Arabidopsis thaliana: one gene and its partners. The protein of the gene in region 1 purifies or fractionates together with the protein of each later gene. This does not show direct contact. Each region holds a gene or a part of one and is shown in the gene's direction. Other genes may lie near its edges. The genes, in order: AT3G09800, AT2G16200, AT2G34840 and AT4G34450.

Region 1 (4,613 bases):
TAATGGAGAATCTTCTCTCAGGAACAGCTTCTATCATACTTAGTTTTAGGGTAAAAGTAGGCAAGTTCACTTAAATTTGTCAAAATCTGTAATGCAGTGTCTAAATCCTATTTACTCTAATAATTTAACAAGTTAACAACAACTCTATGCATCAAACGAATTTAGAACGATGATAACATCTAAGAATGATGACTAACCATTCCAGCAATATCAGGTGCAGAGCCGTGAACAGCTTCAGCAAGGGCAATACCATCCTCCCCAATATTCATACTGGAACAAAACATAATAAGAGCATAAGATGATTGCCTCATTTTCATACTAGACAATAATCTGTGAGACGAAGAAACAAATGTTACCTAGGAGTCAGTCCTAGTCCCCCAACAAGTCCAGCACACAAATCGCTGATAATATCTCCATAGAGATTTGGCATCACCAAGACATCAAAAAGTGCTGGGTTTTTCACAAGCTGTCAGAATTAAGATTATCAATCCCACATTGTTCCATAAGTAAAATTAGCGAAAAGCAGACCCAAGTATGGGTTGCTGGGAAATCTAACCTTCAAAATCAACAAGATTATCCCAAATACTAACTTAATTAACAATGAGATTGACCTTTACATAATTTGGAACAAAAGATAGGGTGGATATCATGTTATAGCTTACCATCATACAGCAATTGTCAATAACAACCTTCTCGTAATATATCTCAGGATACTTCGCAGCAACTTCATCACAACACTGCAAAGCAGGAAGCAAATAAAAACTTGTCTCAGAACAAAGGTTAAGAAAAAGAAGCCAGTGAGAGACTAGAAAAATTGCTATGTTCCCCTAATTGAGAAGTGCTAATGTATTCTGAGTTCCAAAATGAGCTGACCTGCAGGAAAAGACCATCAGTTTTCTGCATAATGTTGGCTTTGTGAATTGCAGAAACTTTCTTCCTTCCGTGAGTCTTGGCATAAAGAAAGGCATACTCGGCAACTCTCATACTCGCCTTACGGGTAATAATTTTAAGACTTTCCACTACACCCTTGACGACCTAGCAAATAAAAATGACAAATCATCAACATGGCTCTAAAAATGATACTAGATACAGATTCACTAAAATGACAGAACAATAGACTAACCTGGTGTTCAAGCCCACTGTACTCTCCTTCAGTGTTCTCACGAATGGTAATGAGATCAACATCATCATAACGGGTTTTGTAACCAGGAAGACTGTAACAAGGCCTAACATTGGCATACAAATTCAGCTCTTTCCTAAGAGTAAGGTTCAAGGAACGGTGACCCTTTCCAATTGGAGTAGCCATTGGTCCTTTCAAACCAACCTTGTTTTTAAGCACAGATTGAAGATTATCCCATGTCAAGAAACTATTGGTTCTAGGATCTACTTCAGTACCAACAAACTGTTCGTCCCAATCAATAACCACATCAGCGGCAGTAAACACCTGGATCAGCATAAAGGGAAAACATTTTCAGAACCATCAGCTATAAACTAAAAAAAACAAACTTTATGATTCAAATCTCTCCCTTGACACGTCTCAAAAAGTATTCAGACATTATGGTTCCTAAGAGTATCCAGAATCTATAACAAAATTTATATGGTAACATAAATTACACAACACCAAAGTAGATTGAAAAAAGGGACCTGCTTGACAGATTCAGCGATTTCGGGACCGATCCCATCACCGGGAAAGAGAGTAGCTTTGATCGGAGTGGAGGAGGAGAAGAAAGCCCTAGAAACGGAAATGAACGGACCGGAGCTAGAACTCGAAGTCCCGAGAATCTGGCTCGATCCGTTACCGATAAGCCGTCTCGCGAGAAATGCTGTCATGGTCATCGCTTCCAGCCTCAGAAGGACGCAGAGAGAGAAAGAGAGGAAAGAGGAGACTTTTTGCTGCGTTGGACCTGAAAAAGTTTACTTTTATACCTTCTCTAGCTCCAGCAGAGAAGCAGAGAACATTTCGATTTCCATGAAATAAAACGGCACAAAGTTAGTGTCTGAAAATAAGAAACGGCATCAGCCTATGTTCTTAAACGGCCATGGTCAAATGAACCGGATATCAATAAATTATAAAAACCGGTCAGATGAAATTAAGCATTCAGATCCCGATAAGCAGTGTGACACTGAAACAGCGAAAGGAGCTCTCTCTCACTCCGAGGCGATTTCTTCTGTCTCGACGATCTTGCGCTTTTCACATTTGAATCCTCCAATCCATTACTTCTTCTCCGATCTTTTATTCCGGTGATCCTTTGGATTATGATTATCGAGATCCATTGCTGCCTATTTGAGTCTTGAATCATTTGTTTGCGTTCTCATCTGTGCTTAGTTATGTGATTCTCCGATAAGATTTAGTTATGTGATTAATGCATGTATGTATCAATCCGAATTTTGGTGATTCGTTGTCTATTATTAAATACGTCAATCTCCATTTGTAATCCCTGGTTGAAATAATAGCTATCTTGTCATGGAGATCATCAACATTACATTTACTACACTACACACATAATGTCACATATGATCTTAGTATATGTACTCTTTTGTACCAGTGACTAGAACAACTGTGAGTGTGGGTTGAAGTTTTTAATATCTTGTTAAAATCGAAAGTTTTTGACTCAGATACTACTTGGTTTTGTTTTTGTCACTGTTTCAGGTACATCTCAAGTCTTACAACAATGTCTCCTGTAAGTACATATGCATTATATGATTGTATTTCGTATTCTGTTAGAATGTGTGTATGTTGCCGCAATCATACAGCTTTGTAGGAGTTTTACTCTTTTTTTGGACTGGAACTTAATTACTGACTTTCCAATGTACATTGAATAGGATTCTTGTCCTTTGGTAAAGAAGATTCTTCTTCTAGACTCTGAAGGAAAGCGTGTGGCTGTCAAGTATTACTCGGATGACTGGCCAACTAATGCCGCCAAGTTAAGTTTTGAGAAGTATGTATTCTCAAAGACCTCTAAGACCAATGCTCGTACAGAAGGTAAGACTACATAACATTTTTCATCTACACAATTTCTATCATGTTTCCTGACTTCGTGTATGCTTATATACTTATCTCTTTCAAATAGCCATATCGATGTTTTATGTGCAGCTGAGATCACACTGTTGGACAGCAATATTATTGTCTATAAGTTTGCCCAGGACCTTCACTTCTTTGTTACTGGAGGTGAAAATGAAAACGAGCTCATCTTAGCTTCTGTTCTTCAAGGCTTTTTTGATGCTGTTGCACTTCTTCTGAGGTATTTGTTTGACTTGACAACTGAATATGCCTTTATTTATTGATCAACCATCTCCACAACTAAAGTATGATGCATCCCTTTTTTTTTTTACCAGGAGCAATGTGGAAAAGATGGAAGCCCTTGAGAACTTGGATCTCATCTTTCTATGCCTTGATGAAATGGTCGATCAAGGGTATGCAAGTTTAATAGTTTAGCCCTACACGACAATTACATAAAAGTCTTAAGCATGCTAAAGATTTGCTCAACCTTTTTTAAGCTTGTCCCATATATCTTAGCAGTTAGCTATTGTCTGATTGTGGCTTATTATGGAATATGTGTTAAGGGTGGTTCTTGAAACGGATCCAAACGTCATTGCGGGGAAAGTAGCAATGCAGAGCACAGAAGCTAGTGGTTCACTCTCTGAACAGGTAACGACACTTTTGACTATTATTGTTACATCTCCCTGTGGAAAAGCAATAGTCTTGATTTAGTTTTGCTATAACTTTGGTCTGGTTTGGCTATAAACACAAACGTGAACTTCTAATTTGAACCCTCTGTTTACATTTCGGTATTGCAGACACTAACACAAGCGCTAGCAACAGCTCGGGAGCATCTGGCAAGAAGTCTGCTTACATGAGTTCCATCATGGCGACACAATAATAGAAGCATGGACTTCAATTTCTATGTTGAGCAACTTTTTATTTTTGAGTCTTTCGGTTTGAAAGTCTCTAATAATTGAATTCTGCAAACAAACTCTTAAAGTTTGGTAGTAAAGGTTTGATTATATATATAGCTTTGTGCAATGCATGAATGTTTTTGGAGAGTGGAATTTTATTACTCTAATTGAAGTCTAAACTCTAAGCAATTCAGGAATATTTCATTTTCCAAGCGATTTCAGATGCTAGTGATCTTGTAAGGTGAAGAAAGACTAAAGTGCCACCCCTCAGAACCTTCTATTTTGAGGTGCACGCCATATCAGAAGAGCAAGAATTGTTTTGGTTCGTATTTTATAAAAATAATCAAAGCAAGAATTGTTTTGGTTCGCATTTTATAAAAAAATCAAAGCGATAAACAAGATAATACTAAATTTCGAATTATTTAATTAACAGATTAAGTCGAATATTTTATAATTATCGAAAGCTGATTTAAATCCAAAACTTTTCCTCTTCTATATAAACTGAGAAACGCTTTTACTCAAACCCTAAATCGATCGTTCTGCAAAAGTTTTCTGTGAAGTACTACTACTCTCTCTCAAGGTATTTGTTTCTTCTATCTCTTCTCATCATCTTTTTTCGCCTGATCTTTTTGGTTCTTACCATTCAGAATCCTCCTTTCTCTCCCATAAAAAAAATTGTTTACAGATGACAATTCAAATCTACGCAAAGACTCTTA
Region 2 (2,911 bases), on another chromosome or scaffold:
AAAGGATCAAGATGATTCTTAATACGAATGAGCAAAAAGCTTGATTTATCAGGCATCCAAAATTTAGAATGTTAACCGGTTTACTCCGGTATTTTTTTTAAGGACTCAAAACTTTAAAAAGTTTCAAAATATTATAAATACTAAACTTTACAACGTTTTAAATATTTATAATTTTAAAACTTTTATGAAGATTTAAATATTATAAATATTTGAACGTTATAAAAAGTTTGAATATTATAAAATTAAACATTATAAATACTTAAAAAAGATGTTAATATGGGACGATATACCACATATAAAGTTCTAGATATAACAATTAAATGAAGTTTGGATCGAAATAAGTTTTTTTGAAGTTCTATTATTATAAATATTTGAAGTTTATAAAACTATGACAAAATCTTAGATATAATAATCAAAATACAATTATAAAGTTTAGATCAATATTAATTTTGTTTTTGAAGTTTCAAATATTTATAGTATTTGAATTTTATAAGAAAATAATAAAATGATGTTTAACTTCATGGGACATGGTTATATGGGATATGTCTTGATCGATATTATTACGGGATGATATATTATGGGTGAAACCCTAGAATTAACAATCAAAACATAATTATACAATTGTAAACACTAAACAAAATAAATAATATTAACACAACAGATACAATTTAAAATTAAATATAAATTTTAGTTATAAAAATCGTCACAAGGTGTATCATACATTAAAAAAACAATGGCCTATATATATATATATAAATCATTTTAAAGACAAAAAAATCAATTTTTATTTAATAAAATTATAGACCCGTAATATATCTCTTGAATATGTTATTCATATATAAATAATATTAATTAAAATAAAAAATAACTTTTTAAAGAAAATATAGACCCGCGGTGTACCGCAGGTCAACATCTAGTGTTTTAATAAAATTGCATACCTTTCACGAAAAAATGGTTCGCACTAAATAGGTGTAACTAGACGGTTATAATTTATAAAGGATGCAAGACCTTCTATCACATGATATGATGCTTTATAATTCTTCGAATAAAGCATAGTAATTCAAAATTTATTCTCATAAACTCATTAATATTTTTTGATCTAATATAACGAATGAAAATACTATAATACAATGATAAATACAAATTTTGTTAATAAATGTTAAATTTTAATTGATCAATAACACATATAAAAACAAATTTGTTAATTTATCTTTTGGTTAAGAAAAATATTTTTTTTTAGATATAATTATATAAATTAGTATATGTAAATTTGTTTTATTTTTTAATTTTGCTATTTCTGTAAAGGAAAAAAAATCAATTATTTAATTCATATCTATATTTGGTCGATAGATTTGACACGTGCCACAATCATGTGAGTTATTAACTTTAAAAACCATAGTTTACATAATAAAATATAATATATTTTGGTTAAACTTCCACTGTTTTTATTTATATGTAGTTTAAGTAAATTTTGTTTTATTACAAAAAAGTGATATTGTAAACTGTTAATGCAAAACAATAAATATATTTAATATGGCAGGTAAAATTTGTTAACAAGGTTACACATGCCGCCGCAATAGTAAGACGTAAAATGAAAGAGAAAAATTTATAAAAAACTATCATTCGTATCATTTGTTTTCCTTTAGTGTTTCTTTATTAAAGTGGTGGCATTTTCTTTCAAGTTGAAACAGAGTTAGTTATATAAAGTAGCCATACACATTCACCACGGACGGCTAATAATGCTTGTTTTCGAAAGAGGGAAATGAATCACTTTTGCGGGAGACAAAATGGATCTTTATAAAACATTGGAGCTAAAGGAATTAAGCTGCACATCCCTGTTAAAAGTGGGACAGTTTAGGGGAAGCTGTAAAAGCTGTAACTGATCTTCTTGGCATGCAGTCTTGTAAGGTTAGGCGCGCTTCTTCATACGTTAATACATTTTTCATTAGCATAAAAAAAAATCATAACTGAGATATGATCTGGCATTGTTGTTCTTCTTAATTCTTATGATAATTGTTTCGGGGGTTTCGGGTTCAGGGTACGGAGACGGTTGCAAGCAACGCAAGATCACACACATGTTTACCATCAGGTTTGTATATAGGGAACGTGAAAGTGTTGGTGAAGGCACAGTTTGGAATGGACAGCTCAAAGGAAATTGTAATGAAACTGGCTGTTCGAGCAGAGGATCCATCTGTCAGCGATGCGATTCACGCACTTGTTGCTAACGGCTAAACATATCAAAGGTTCGCAGGGATCTTTCCCTTTCGCTTTTGGTCTTGAAAAGTGCTTATTGTCATTTCTCTAAACATTTTTTTGAGTTTGCTACTTTTTACCATTAGTATAAATATTCTTTTGATGAGCTTATTTGAGGATATGTCGTAGTGGATCGTTTCTTCTTTCGTTGATTCACACAAGTTTGTTTAATTATAGTACGGTGGCAGAAGAATACTAATAACTAGTAACCTGTTCAATCGATTCAGTTGCTAAAGTCGATTCACATTCAGACAAAAAAAACTTAGAGAAGCAACAAAGCCCACAAGGACTGTTACATCTTTCAAAGACAGCTCAAGAGACCCATTGTTACAGAGAACCAAAAGTTTCAACCTTTCAAAAAATGATAGAACTGAAGGAATGTTTCCTTCAATTACAGTGAAAAATCAGTGAACATTTTTACAAATACAAATCCCATTAAGTATTTGAGTCCAAAGTGTCATCATGAAATAAATTAGTCCCATCACACACAAATGACAAACAGTACAAGATGTTGAAAAAGAACAAAGGACCATTCTCATCCAGAAGAAACAATGTTGAAAATGTTAAGCATAAATAATCAAGATTAAGACAGAGAACTAAAAGAAACTGCAAAACCTTGTTCTTGAGACCAAACAAAATGAAAGATACATGTATAAAG
Region 3 (4,378 bases), on another chromosome or scaffold:
CATACGGTGCAAAAATTAAAACAAAATAAGTCATGCATCCCTCGTTCTACGGTGACGCATGTTGATGAACGGATTCTATAAAAATAGTAATATTTAATATCTGTTATCCAGTCAGATATATTTAAAACAATATAAGAATTTAAATTGACAAAGAAAGATAAATCTGATTAACCACGGAATATGTGTGTTTAGATTGGTAACGTATGATTAGACACATCAATGCTATTTAAAAGATGCATATGATGATAACTTTTAGAAGTGAGAAGGCCTTTGGATTATTAGGGATTACAAATAGTAAACTTATTATAGATTACTTGAGAAAAGAGATTCATTAAAACAAAATTTGCATAAAGTAAGAACCAAACTAGAGGAGCTTATTCCAAGAAGATGCATTTTACATTTAAAAGGTGCATGTAATTAATGTCTGATAACCATAACTCATTAATTATTCTAATTCAGCTAAAAGCGAGCCTAAACCCATTACACAGAGAATTGCACGAATCACAAGTACACAAATTGATAGAACATTTAGACTTTAGAGGTTGATATTTTTTGATAAACTATAGTATTGATTTATGTTATTAATTGGGTTGTGTAGCACGAGGACTTCTTTGAACATGTGAAATGAATATTGACTTTACGTAAAATCGACCATGCCCTTTAAGTGTTCCTCAAGTTCATACAAAAACAACAGTCATACTCTTATATGTATATTATAACATGATTTAAATTTGAACTATGTTTATTTAACTATATCCTATATATAATTATTACGATTGAGAGATGAGAAAGTTTGTTACAGATGAAGAAGAAGATATTTTCCCCTTAAATTTCTGTAAATGTATTTTGTACAAGTATATATACGATGACAATACAACCGGTTAATATAACCCGCGTAATACAAAATCAATTAAACCGATAAATTAAATCAACACTCTCTGATATGACCCCTCAATATGAGGATTCGAAAATGTTGAGAATGCTCATCTTGGACTTTAGATGTTCAAACTGATGTGAGAACAAATGTTTAGCAAAATATCAGCTATTTGATCATCCGTGGGAACATGAAGCAGTTTAAGCTCACCATCATCCAACTTGTCACGCACGGTATGGCAGTCAATCTCAATATATTTCGTGCTCTCATGGAAGATATAATTGATTGCAATATAGATAACATCTGTACTGTCTGAAAACAAGATAAGAATCGAAGTAGTATCCGTTTAAGATACGAGCAATGTATGCAACCAAACCAACTCACAAGTAGCAAGAGCTAATGCTCAGTATCTAGAAATAACATGTTGCTTCTTAGATCGACATGAGATGATTTATGAAGAAATTTGAGCTTTGATGGCTCTAATACCATATTACGATCGAGAGATAAGAAAGTTTGTTACAGATGAAGAAGAAGATATTTTCTGATTAAATTTCCGTAAATGTATTTTGTACAAGTATATATACAATGACTATTCAACCGATTAACATCACCGTAATACAAAATCATCTAGACCGATAAAACTAACCTAACACATTCTGATAATAACAAATATGAATTTATTGATTTTCTTTTAATTAAGAATAGCTCGTTCAACCAAATGTTGACATCTTTTTTTTTTTTGAACACTACCAAATGTAGACATCTAGTACACTAATTCAACCATGTCTGTCGTCTAATACTATTTCGAGTAGTGTGTGATATGCTTAATATATAAAAAAAACTTGTTCACGTTTCTGATTTTAAAACATAGACTGACCAAAAGCTCACAACACACAACTAGATATAAAGCCCAGGAGTCAAACAAAGAACCTGATTCGTTATTTTGCCGCACAAGGCCCAAATCAAATTAGTGATGTTACTTGAACAGTTCAAAAAGAACTGGGATTATTATGCATTCAGTTTATAACTTAAGGGGTTATTATGTTATTAACCCGTTTACTTTCGTTTGGATTTTGGAATTAGACGCGAAGCTGTGAAATCTAGAAGAAGAAGAAGAAGAAGAAGAAGAAGAAGAAGAAGAAGAAGAAGAAGAAGAAGAAGAAGAAGAAGAAGAAGAAGAAGCAATGTCAGCCATGGGAGCAGGACCAGATCACCTCTTCAACCTCAGAAACAATTTCTATTTGGGAGCTTATCAAACGGCGATCAACAACAGCGAGATCGCCAACCTCTCGCCGGAAAACGCCGTGGAACGTGACTGTCTCGTCTTCCGATCTTACATCGCCCTCGGTAGCTATCAGGTTACTTCTCTAATCATATCGATAATGTCTTCTTCTTTAGATTCGATTACGTTTTGTTTTGATCTGTTCTTCCAAATTTTGGTGTGTATAAGCTTGTTATCAGTGAGATCGATGAATCAGCCGCTACTCCACTACAAGCAGTCAAACTCCTCGCTATGTATCTATCGACTCCTCAAAATAAGGTAATTACGGCTTTGATTCGTGTTCACGAAACATGTTGTAAAGAGATTCAAATGCTTATATGGAACGATTGTTATTGGTTCAGGAATCAACAATTTCAAGCTTGAAGGAATGGTTAGCAGATTCAACAATAGGAAACAATGATACATTACGATTGATTGCTGGTATTATTTTCATGCATGAAGAAGATTATAATGAAACTTTGAAGCATACTCATGCTGGAGGAACTATGGATTTGTAAGATTTTTTCGATTTTTATTTGGTGGATTGAGTATTTATACTGTGTTTTAAAACATGTTCTTAGATGGCTCATTGCTATTGTTTTTCTAGGTATGCCTTGAATGTTCAGATATTCATTAAGATGCATAGAGCAGAGTATGCTGAGAAGCAGCTTAGAGTGATGCAACAGATTGATGAAGACCACACTCTCACTCAACTTGCTAGCGCTTGGTTGAACCTGGCAGTGGTATAATGCGAAATATTCAATGTGTTCTGGCTTATTCTTTCAAAGAGTTGTGTATTTGCTTCTTATGCTAAGGCGTTATTTGATTTCAGGGCGGTTCGAAGATACAGGAAGCTTATCTCATTTTCGAGGATTTTTCTGAGAAGTACCCAATGACATGCTTGATCTTGAATGGCAAAGCTGTTTGCTGTATGCAAATGGGTAACTTCGATGAAGCTGAAACACTACTTCTTGAAGCACTCAACAAGGTAACTACAAATTAGGCTTGTGTACCTTAAATTTGCTCTGTACATTAGCATTCTCGGGAACAATATGAAACTAGGGACCTCTCTAAATTTCTCACACTGCACTTGTCTCTTGGCTTTTCTGTATATGGGGAAGTGTGTTTATACTAATTTGTGGTGATTGCAGGATGCTAAAGATCCAGAAACTCTTGCAAATCTTGTTGTGTGCAGTCTTCATGTCGGGAAGTCTTCTTCACGCCACCTAAGGTAAATTTTCATTATCTACTCTTATATTAGGCATCATTTGCCCAATCAATCAGTAGAACTCACTGAAAAGTTAATCGAGAGTAACTGTGTCCTTAATCCTAATAAAAACATTGGTCGGTCTCGTTTGTTAACTTCATTTGTATCACCTATCCTTCTTGCAGCCAGCTAAAACTTTCACACCCGGAACACATACTTGTGAAGCGTGTATCATCAGCTGAAGATAACTTCGAGAGAGCAGTTCAATTGGTCGCCTAAAGACTCTTCCATGGTTCAAGCTAAAAGACGTGCAGGATTTGTTTGCTTTACCGCATATTTTCACCGGGTTGGTAAATCTACCAGAACAACCATACTGTCTTGTCTTTTCGAAACCAGTATATGAACCAGCTTTTGCCATTAGATATGTTAAGTTACATTTCATTACTTGAAAATATCAAATTCCACCTCTCGCACTCTCAATTCCGTTTGTCATTTACTTAATTTCGAACCTAACCAATCCAGATCGTGTAACTCAACCCGAAACCTTGAGTGAATTCAACCGATCGTTTGAATCCAAACTAGAAATACCAAAACAAACAAAAGCTTCTCACTTGGAAATACTTCAATTTTTTTCCAACCAATGATTTTCACTTTTTACACAAAGAAGCGACATATGTCTTCCGTTAGGATTTTGATAAACCTCAATCACAATAAAATAGGTGATTGACATGGATGATATTTTATTAATCAATAATCTCATATATAATCTCTATATATGGATAAGATGAATACTATTCTACTAAGAATAAATCCATCTTCTTCTACTACCTTCACTACCATCTAGAATCAAGACTCTAATGAAGGAGTCCTTGAAGGGCAATGCTCACATACCTAATGCATAATGGTCAGTATGCAGAAACCAAGGAAGAAGATCCATAGCCACTGCGATGAAGCTTTTGCCATCTCCATGCCATCTTTAAACTTTCTTGAAGATTGGTGTGCTTAGCTGTCCAATTCAGCTCTTCTTTGATTTTTC
Region 4 (7,789 bases), on another chromosome or scaffold:
TTATTATTGGTCTTATATAATTATGAGATTCTAAAAGTGTGATACGGTTAGGGTTAGGCGTATCCTTTTGTTACCGTTGTGATAAAATTTCCTTTTTGTTTCTGCTACTCAAATAAGAAAAGGAAACAATCAAAATTTCCTTTTTTCATTGAACAAACGTGTACTTATAAATACACCCCTTCTCTCTTCTTCCTTGAGAAAAGTCTCCATTCTCTCTTCTTCTTCCTGGAAACCTAAACCACGTAAGGATTTGCTCTGAATCTAAATATTGACGTGGAGAAGACGCGATCTTACTAATTCTCCATTCTCTGCTTCAACTTCACCGTAAGATTGAACAAACCTTTACTTATATATACCTCTTCTTTCTTGAGAAATCCAAATTCTCCATTCTCTCTTCTTCTTCCAAACCAAAACCTAATTCTCCATTCTCTGCTTCAACTTCACCGTAAGATTGATCGGTTGATAAAGCGGCTCTTTTTGGTGATTGATCTCTGTTGTGACTACATCTTAGGTCAATTCAGATTGCTTTCATATCAAGTCTCTCCTAATTTCACAAGATCAAAGATCCCGGCCATGGATTCAGTTGTCGACGGCGAAGGAGAACACAAACGACGACTAAGGATGCGAAAGTGGGAAAGAGGGATATAACGAAGACATGGACAATGAAAGCAACGAGCAGTATAGAACCAAATCAATGGATCATGATCTGTGTTTGGTACTAGGTGTTTCCTTGGCGTCGACGAGATCTTTTGAAAATCTTGTGTTTCGTCGATATCACAAGCAAAGGTATTTTCTTTTTTCCTTTTCTATTTTTAATGATTCATTTTTTACTAAATAAAAATTTATTTTTAGATTTTTTTATTAAGTGTTAAAATTTTCAATTTTGTGTAAATTAATTTAAATTTTTAACACTTGTTTTTGTTTTTATTAAAAACTGTTTTTAAACCTATATTTTTATACTACTATTAAAGTTTTAAGGTTTTTCTTATTAAATATTAAATTTTTAAATTTTGTGTAAACTAATTGGATACATCATCCAATCCCCTAAGAGGTGTTCTAGGTTCAATAGATGGTTTACACATCATTTAAATTTTTAACACTTGTTTTTTATATTTATTAAATAAATGTTTTTAAACCTAAATTTTTATACTACTATTAAAATTTGAAGTTTTTTTTTATTAAGTGTTGAATTTTTAAATTTTGTGTAAACTAATTGGATACATCATCCAAACCCCTAAGAGGTGTTCTAGGTTCAATATGGTTTACACATTATTTAAATTTTTAACACTTGTTTTTCTTATATCAAAAATATGTTTTAAACCTTTATTTTTATACTACTATTAAAGTTTTAAGTTTTTTTATTAAGTGTTAAATATTTAAATTTGTGTAAGCTAATTGGATACATCATCCAAACCCCTAAATAGTGTTCTAGTTTCAATATGGTTTACACATTATTTAAAGTTTTAACACTTGTTTTCCTTATATTAAAAAATGTTTTAAACCTATATTTTTCTATTACTATTAAGATCTTAAGTTTTTTTTTTAATTTTGTGTAAACTAATTGGATAAATCTTAACTCCTAAGAGGTTAGGTTCAATATGGTTTACATATAATTTAATTTTTCTTATATTAAAAAATGTTTCTATTTTTATTTTACTATTAAGATTTTAAATTTTTTTTTGTTAAGTGTAAAAAATTAAAATTTTGTGTAAACTAATTGAATATAACATTCAAACCTGTAAGAGGTGTTTATAGGTTCAATATGATTTATATATAATTTAAATAGTTTGCTATTTTGTTTAGAATCAAAATATTTTTAAATGACATGTTGTAATAATTGACCAAAAGAAATTAGTGTGTGATTTTGTTGAAATGCAGAGTACAAAGCCTTAATTTATACCAAGTTATGGTATCTATAACGTATATGAATACCAAAATTTTATTATTTTTAATTGGTGTTGTATTTTATAATTCGAAATAATTAGGGGAACGGGCAAAACCTCTCTGTTCTCTCGCTTATATTTTTTTTAGAGAGAAAGCAAATCAGTTTCAACGATCGGATATTTTCTGGTGTTAGCCGTCCTGACTTTTTGGGCTTTCTGTCCGATATCACCGGCTCTGGTAGCGGTGTTGGTTGGCTCTAGTCCGGCAGCGTCTTGTTCACATAACCGGTGGTTGCTGGCTCTTGGTTTCTCTCGTCGATGTAGATCGATTTTTAATCTGTGTTTTTTTATTTTCATGTTTTGTTTTTAATAATTCTCATCTGAGACATGTTGGTGATAGAGTGAATGCAATCTCGCTTTCTAATGCTTCTTATCCGATCTGTTCTTTTTTAAGTTTTGATTTACAGAAATTTTTGGAGAAATTTGAGAATGATGTTGAAGAAAAGAAGTGGATTCTGTTGTTAATTATCATAGCCTTAAGCTGTTGTATATTTAACATGAGCCTCGATTGCTTTTTATCGGTGAAAAAACAAAAAGATCCATGTTCTATGAGACTATCGACGGTGATTCTTTCACCGAAATCGGTGCTCAGACGGCGAAAATGAAGTCGGTTCGCTTTAGAGTACTCATCTGACACGTATATTAATATATCGACATGTGGTTTGGGATAGAGTCAAACTATAGTTTCTTCTTCTATGAAAGACTCTCTGTTGGCCTATTTGGTCCTAAATCGTTTCTGTAATCGCGGACTTTTCTTTAAGCTTTGACTATCTTGATTAATACAATATTTCTCTTGGGACAAAAAAAAAATAATCTTAGTATTTCTTTAATATTTTTTGTTTGGGTATGGGCTATTGGGCCGCTTCGAAAAGTTCACTTTCTCTATCGATCTCTCACAGTTTCTGAGTTCTCTGACTCAAAAACATATAGTAGAAGAAAACGATTAGAGATCTTCTTCTTTCTCCTGTTGCATCTGAAGATAAAGGAAACAGAAAGCGCGAGATCTGAGTGACGGAGTAATTTCAAAGGGAGGTTTTCGAGATCAGAAATGGCGCAACCCCTCGTGAAGAAAGACGATGATCACGACGATGAGTGTATGTGTTCTCTCTTAATCTCCTTATAATTTTCGAATCAGCTGGTTTTCTGCAAAATGTAGATCCAGATGTTAAGCTTCTAGATCTGTTATCATTCAACAGTCGTGATTGTGATTTGGTTGTGTAGATCTACAATCTCAAGTCCGATTTAGTTTTGTTTACCGCATTCGATCCCGGTGTGAATTGCTTTGCTTATTTCGATTTCTGATTTTTTGTTGGATCAGTGGAGTATTCTCCATTCATGGGAATTGAGAAAGGAGCGGTTCTTCAAGAGGCTAGAGTCTTTAATGACCCTCAGGTTGATCCTAGACGATGCTCCCAGGTCATTACGAAGCTTCTTTATTTGCTTAACCAAGGGGAGTCATTCACCAAGGTCAGTTAATTTTTTTGCTTATACTGATTCGATGTCATGCTTATGGAGAATTGAATTATTGTGTTCTTATCCTCTCGCGATGGTTGTTTGTTTCATATGCAGGTTGAAGCAACGGAAGTTTTCTTTTCAGTTACAAAGCTTTTTCAATCAAAAGACACGGGTTTGAGGAGAATGGTCTACTTGATCATTAAGGAGTTATCTCCATCATCTGATGAGGTCTGTAAATTTTACTCAATTTCAATACGAACATCGTCGCACTTATTGTAGGTATATTTTCTGATAAGTTGTTGGTTTTTTCGCCCATAGGTTATCATCGTAACAAGCTCTCTGATGAAGGATATGAATAGTAAAATTGATATGTATCGAGCAAATGCTATCCGTGTCCTCTGCCGGATAATAGACGGAACCCTTCTCACTCAGATTGAGCGATACTTGAAACAAGCCATTGTGGATAAGAATCCCGTTGTTTCAAGTGCAGCTTTAGTCAGTGGGCTTCACTTGCTCAAGGTACCTTTTACACACCAAAACTATTAGGTAGCTTCTTAATTGTAATGTTATGCTTATATTCGTATATTGCTGTTTTCAGACAAACCCAGAAATTGTTAAAAGATGGAGCAATGAAGTTCAAGAAGGTATTCAATCCAGATCAGCCCTTGTTCAGTTCCATGCCCTAGCTTTGCTCCATCAGGTTAGTTTGTTGCATTATTATCACCGAAGTCGATTGGTCTATGTTTCTACTCTTTGTTTAATTAAACAGCCACTGAGAAGAAGTATCTCGGAAAATGAGAGGTGTTACTATGTGTATTGGACTAGATTCATAAATAATAAGTTTTCTGTAGCAGCATCGTAGCTCTTTACTACGGCCTTTTCCAGCAATTTTAGTTTCTTGTGAGGTTTAATCTGTGTCTGGAGTCTGTCTCAGATACTGCTGATTCTAGCATATGTAACTAATTAGGTTGGTTAGGACAACCTATTTATGTGTCTAAGATGTACGAGTTACCAAATGATATGTATTGCTGCTGTTACGTTGATTTAAAATGACTCCCAACATGATACACTCTCAATCTTTGATCTAATAACTGTCAATCTTTGATCAACTTGATAATCTTTCATCATATTCAGATACGCCAAAATGATCGCTTGGCTGTTAGCAAATTGGTTGGTAGCTTGACCAGGGGATCTGTCCGCTCTCCCTTGGCTCAGTGTCTTTTGATACGTTACACCAGCCAGGTTATTCCTCTCTTCTGTTTGATCATTTGATAAGTGGCTGATTGTATATGTGTTATTTAGCTCTGGTTTCTAATATTCAGGTTATCCGTGACATGGCCAACCACGGTCAATCTGGAGAACGTCCGTTCTATGAATTTTTGGAGAGTTGCCTGCGCCATAAGGCAGAAATGGTGATCCTTGAGGCTGCCAGGGCAATTACTGAGCTTGATGGTGTGACAAGCCGAGAACTGACTCCAGCAATCACTGTTCTTCAGCTCTTTTTGAGTTCCCCCAGACCAGTGTTGAGATTTGCCGCTGTCCGGACTCTGAACAAGGTTTGCAATGCTTTCAACTGTTCTCTTTGTACATTGACACCGAAATGATGTTTTACTATTCTGGGTAGATTCATCATTACCTTTATCATGAGGATGAGGAGATATTTCACTGTATACTAAACACAAGTTTGAACCACAGGTTGCAATGACTCATCCTATGGCTGTCACCAACTGCAACATTGATATGGAGAGTTTAATCTCTGATCAAAATAGAAGCATTGCTACACTCGCAATAACCACACTATTGAAAACAGGGAACGAATCAAGTGTAGAACGTTTGATGAAGCAGATAACTAATTTTATGTCAGATATTGCTGATGAGTTCAAAATTGTGGTCGTGGACGCAATAAGATCGTTGTGTGTGAAATTCCCACTGAAATACAGATCCTTGTAAGTAAAGTTTTAGGGTTTGTTATTTGTAGTTTTGGTCTCGAGCATTTCTATTTTTTTGAATGATTAAATATGTTATGGTATCTTTTTAGCATTTGGCTTATGATTGATCTATCACCTTTTCATTTGTAGGATGACCTTCTTAAGCAACATTCTTAGGGAAGAAGGTGGATTTGAGTATAAAAGAGCAATAGTAGATTCTATTGTGACCATTATCAGAGATATTCCGGATGCAAAGGAAAGTGGACTGCTTCATCTATGTGAATTCATTGAAGATTGTGAATTCACATATCTTTCAACACAGGTAATTATTCCATCATCCATCTGGGGTTGCTATTAAAAACTTATGTGTTATTGAAATGTTTATTCTCGCACAGATCCTTCATTTTCTGGGAATTGAGGGGCCTAACACCTCAGATCCAAGCAAGTATATACGATATATATATAATCGTGTGCATCTAGAAAACGCCACTGTCCGGGCTGCTGCTGTTTCCACACTTGCAAAGTTTGGGTTTATGGTTGAATCCTTGAAGGTATAGTCATCATAACAACCATTATTTTTATTTTCCGTTTATCTTCTTTGACTGATGATAATGCTCGACAGCCCCGGATTACTGTTCTATTGAAGCGTTGCATCTATGACAGTGATGATGAGGTGCGTTCCTAGTCTTAGTCTAGAAAAGCATTGCTGTTTCTGTATGTCTGTTTGTTTTGAGTCGTTGCATCATCAAACATGCATGCATGTGTTTGCCTCTGTAAACATTTTCGGATGCATGCAATGCAAGTTGTTTGATGATTCCTTCCTTGCTCATGAGTCAGACATCTTTTTATCTTAAGGTCCGTGATAGGGCAACACTATATTTGAGTGTTCTTGGTGGTGATGGTACTGTTGACACTGATAAAGAGAGCAAGGATTTCCTATTTGGTTCCCTGGAGGTTCCTCTAGTCAACATGGAAACTAGTCTGAAGAATTATGTGAGTTAATCTATTTCTCGGTTTTCTCCTTTTCAATATTCTTAGGACATCAGTTATCTTATATCTGGGATTCCTGCAGGAGCCCTCTGAAGAAGCTTTTGATATCAACTCCGTACCTAAGGAAGTTAAATCTCAGCCCCTTGCAGAGAAGAAAGCCCAGGGTAAAAAGCCCACTGGTCTTGGTGCACCACCAGCTGCACCTGCTTCTGGTTTTGATGGCTATGAAAGACTTCTCTCATCCATTCCAGAGTTTGCCGCCTTTGGAAAACTTTTCAAGGTTAGGGGCTGATTTGTCTTCTGTGTTATTCTAATGTTAATGGCTTATCTTGTTTGCTTTAACTTGTACTTTCTTTTTCAGTCTTCTTTACCTGTGGAGCTAACTGAAGCAGAAACAGAATACGCTGTCAATGTTGTTAAGCATATCTTTGACAGTCATGTGGTGTTTCAGTACAACTGCACTAACACAATACCAGAGCAGTTGTTGGAGAGGGTACTGAACATTGGTGTAGAATATTAGTGTCAAGCATATCTTATCTTTCTTTCCTCATTTAATTAATTTGGCATGGGGTTGTAGGTCAATGTCATTGTAGATGCTTCAGAAGCTGAGGAATTCAGTGAAGTAACTTCAAAGGCCCTAAACTCACTTCCTTACGATTCACCCGGTCAAGCCTTTGTGGTTTTTGAGAAGCCAGCTGGGGTCCCTGCTGTTGGAAAGTTCTCCAACACATTGACTTTCGTTGTTAAGGAGGTACATGTTAAATAGGCTATTCACTTCCATCTTTTTATTTACTTACACTGAAAATGACCCCATAATACTTTGTGGAGAACTCTTATAAACAACGACTCATTTGGAGAGGAGTACCAGAACGACTCAAATTAATCACAGAAAACAAAGAAAACTCTCTAACTACATTGTTTGTGCTTTTATGAATGTGTTAAAACAGGTTGACCCAAGCACAGGTGAAGCAGAAGATGATGGAGTAGAAGATGAGTACCAGCTAGAGGATCTTGAGGTTGTAGCTGGAGATTACATGGTGAAAGTGGGTGTCTCCAATTTCAGGAATGCGTGGGAAAGCATGGATGAAGAAGATGAGCGTGTAGACGAATATGGCCTTGGCCAAAGAGAGAGTTTGGGAGAAGCTGTAAAGGCTGTCATGGATCTTCTTGGCATGCAGACTTGTGAGGTTAGTCTCTTCCACTTTTTTCTCATACTCTACTGAGACTTGAGGGCTAAAATTATTGTTGATAAAGTCTTTTTTGAGTATATGACCATTTGTTGTGTTCCTGAAATTGAAACTGACACTGGATAAATAACAGGGGACGGAGACAATTCCGCTCAATGCAAGGTCACACACGTGTCTATTGTCAGGTGTGTACATAGGCAACGTGAAAGTGTTAGTGAGGGCACAGTTTGGAATGGACAGCTCAAAGGACATTGCAATGAAGCTGACAGTTAGAGCTGAAGACGTT

What was found.
Region 2: the proteins of AT3G09800 (region 1) and AT2G16200 fractionate together in Arabidopsis thaliana (co-fractionation; one large-scale study listed by BioGRID). This does not show direct contact.
Region 3: the proteins of AT3G09800 (region 1) and AT2G34840 fractionate together in Arabidopsis thaliana (co-fractionation; one large-scale study listed by BioGRID). This does not show direct contact.
Region 4: the proteins of AT3G09800 (region 1) and AT4G34450 fractionate together in Arabidopsis thaliana (co-fractionation; one large-scale study listed by BioGRID). This does not show direct contact.

Annotation. Positions count from the first base shown.
Region 1 is NC_003074.8:3,005,976-3,010,588, reverse strand, and holds AT3G09800 (SNARE-like superfamily protein), read left to right. Parts: upstream 1-1,978; 5' UTR 1,979-2,023; coding exon 2,024-2,241; exon of another isoform or gene 2,242-2,650; coding exon 2,651-2,681; intron 2,682-2,823; coding exon 2,824-2,983; exon of another isoform or gene 2,984-3,042; coding exon of another isoform or gene 3,043-3,094; coding exon 3,095-3,242; intron 3,243-3,336; coding exon 3,337-3,414; intron 3,415-3,564; coding exon 3,565-3,649; intron 3,650-3,798; coding exon 3,799-3,858; 3' UTR 3,859-4,076; downstream 4,077-4,613. Other genes in the region: IDH-VI (isocitrate dehydrogenase VI), read right to left, coding at 198-270, 357-466, 663-737, 874-1,035, 1,124-1,444, 1,645-1,836; UBQ8 (ubiquitin 8), read left to right, coding at 4,583-4,613. UniProt on the Arabidopsis thaliana protein: The coatomer is a cytosolic protein complex that binds to dilysine motifs and reversibly associates with Golgi non-clathrin-coated vesicles, which further mediate biosynthetic protein transport from the ER, via the Golgi up to the trans Golgi network.
Region 2 is NC_003071.7:7,022,873-7,025,783, forward strand, and holds AT2G16200 (structural molecule), read left to right. Parts: upstream 1-1,734; 5' UTR 1,735-1,787; coding exon 1,788-1,844; intron 1,845-1,851; exon of another isoform or gene 1,852-1,893; coding exon of another isoform or gene 1,894-1,908; intron 1,909-2,037; coding exon 2,038-2,232; 3' UTR 2,233-2,359; downstream 2,360-2,911.
Region 3 is NC_003071.7:14,700,545-14,704,922, forward strand, and holds AT2G34840 (Coatomer epsilon subunit), read left to right. Parts: upstream 1-1,943; 5' UTR 1,944-2,058; coding exon 2,059-2,232; exon of another isoform or gene 2,233-2,324; coding exon 2,325-2,414; intron 2,415-2,497; coding exon 2,498-2,649; intron 2,650-2,742; coding exon 2,743-2,878; intron 2,879-2,967; coding exon 2,968-3,123; intron 3,124-3,286; coding exon 3,287-3,366; intron 3,367-3,527; coding exon 3,528-3,621; 3' UTR 3,622-3,827; downstream 3,828-4,378. Other genes in the region: MEE25 (NAD(P)-binding Rossmann-fold superfamily protein), read right to left, coding at 4,248-4,378. UniProt on the Arabidopsis thaliana protein: The coatomer is a cytosolic protein complex that binds to dilysine motifs and reversibly associates with Golgi non-clathrin-coated vesicles, which further mediate biosynthetic protein transport from the ER, via the Golgi up to the trans Golgi network.
Region 4 is NC_003075.7:16,468,965-16,476,753, forward strand, and holds the start of AT4G34450 (coatomer gamma-2 subunit, putative / gamma-2 coat protein, putative / gamma-2 COP), read left to right. Parts: upstream 1-1,771; 5' UTR 1,772-2,991; coding exon 2,992-3,037; intron 3,038-3,261; coding exon 3,262-3,410; intron 3,411-3,512; coding exon 3,513-3,626; intron 3,627-3,716; coding exon 3,717-3,917; intron 3,918-3,996; coding exon 3,997-4,098; intron 4,099-4,532; coding exon 4,533-4,640; intron 4,641-4,720; coding exon 4,721-4,954; intron 4,955-5,093; coding exon 5,094-5,344; intron 5,345-5,476; coding exon 5,477-5,648; intron 5,649-5,721; coding exon 5,722-5,877; intron 5,878-5,948; coding exon 5,949-5,999; intron 6,000-6,181; coding exon 6,182-6,319; intron 6,320-6,398; coding exon 6,399-6,596; intron 6,597-6,677; coding exon 6,678-6,809; intron 6,810-6,893; coding exon 6,894-7,067; intron 7,068-7,263; coding exon 7,264-7,503; intron 7,504-7,636; coding exon 7,637-7,789. UniProt on the Arabidopsis thaliana protein: The coatomer is a cytosolic protein complex that binds to dilysine motifs and reversibly associates with Golgi non-clathrin-coated vesicles, which further mediate biosynthetic protein transport from the ER, via the Golgi up to the trans Golgi network.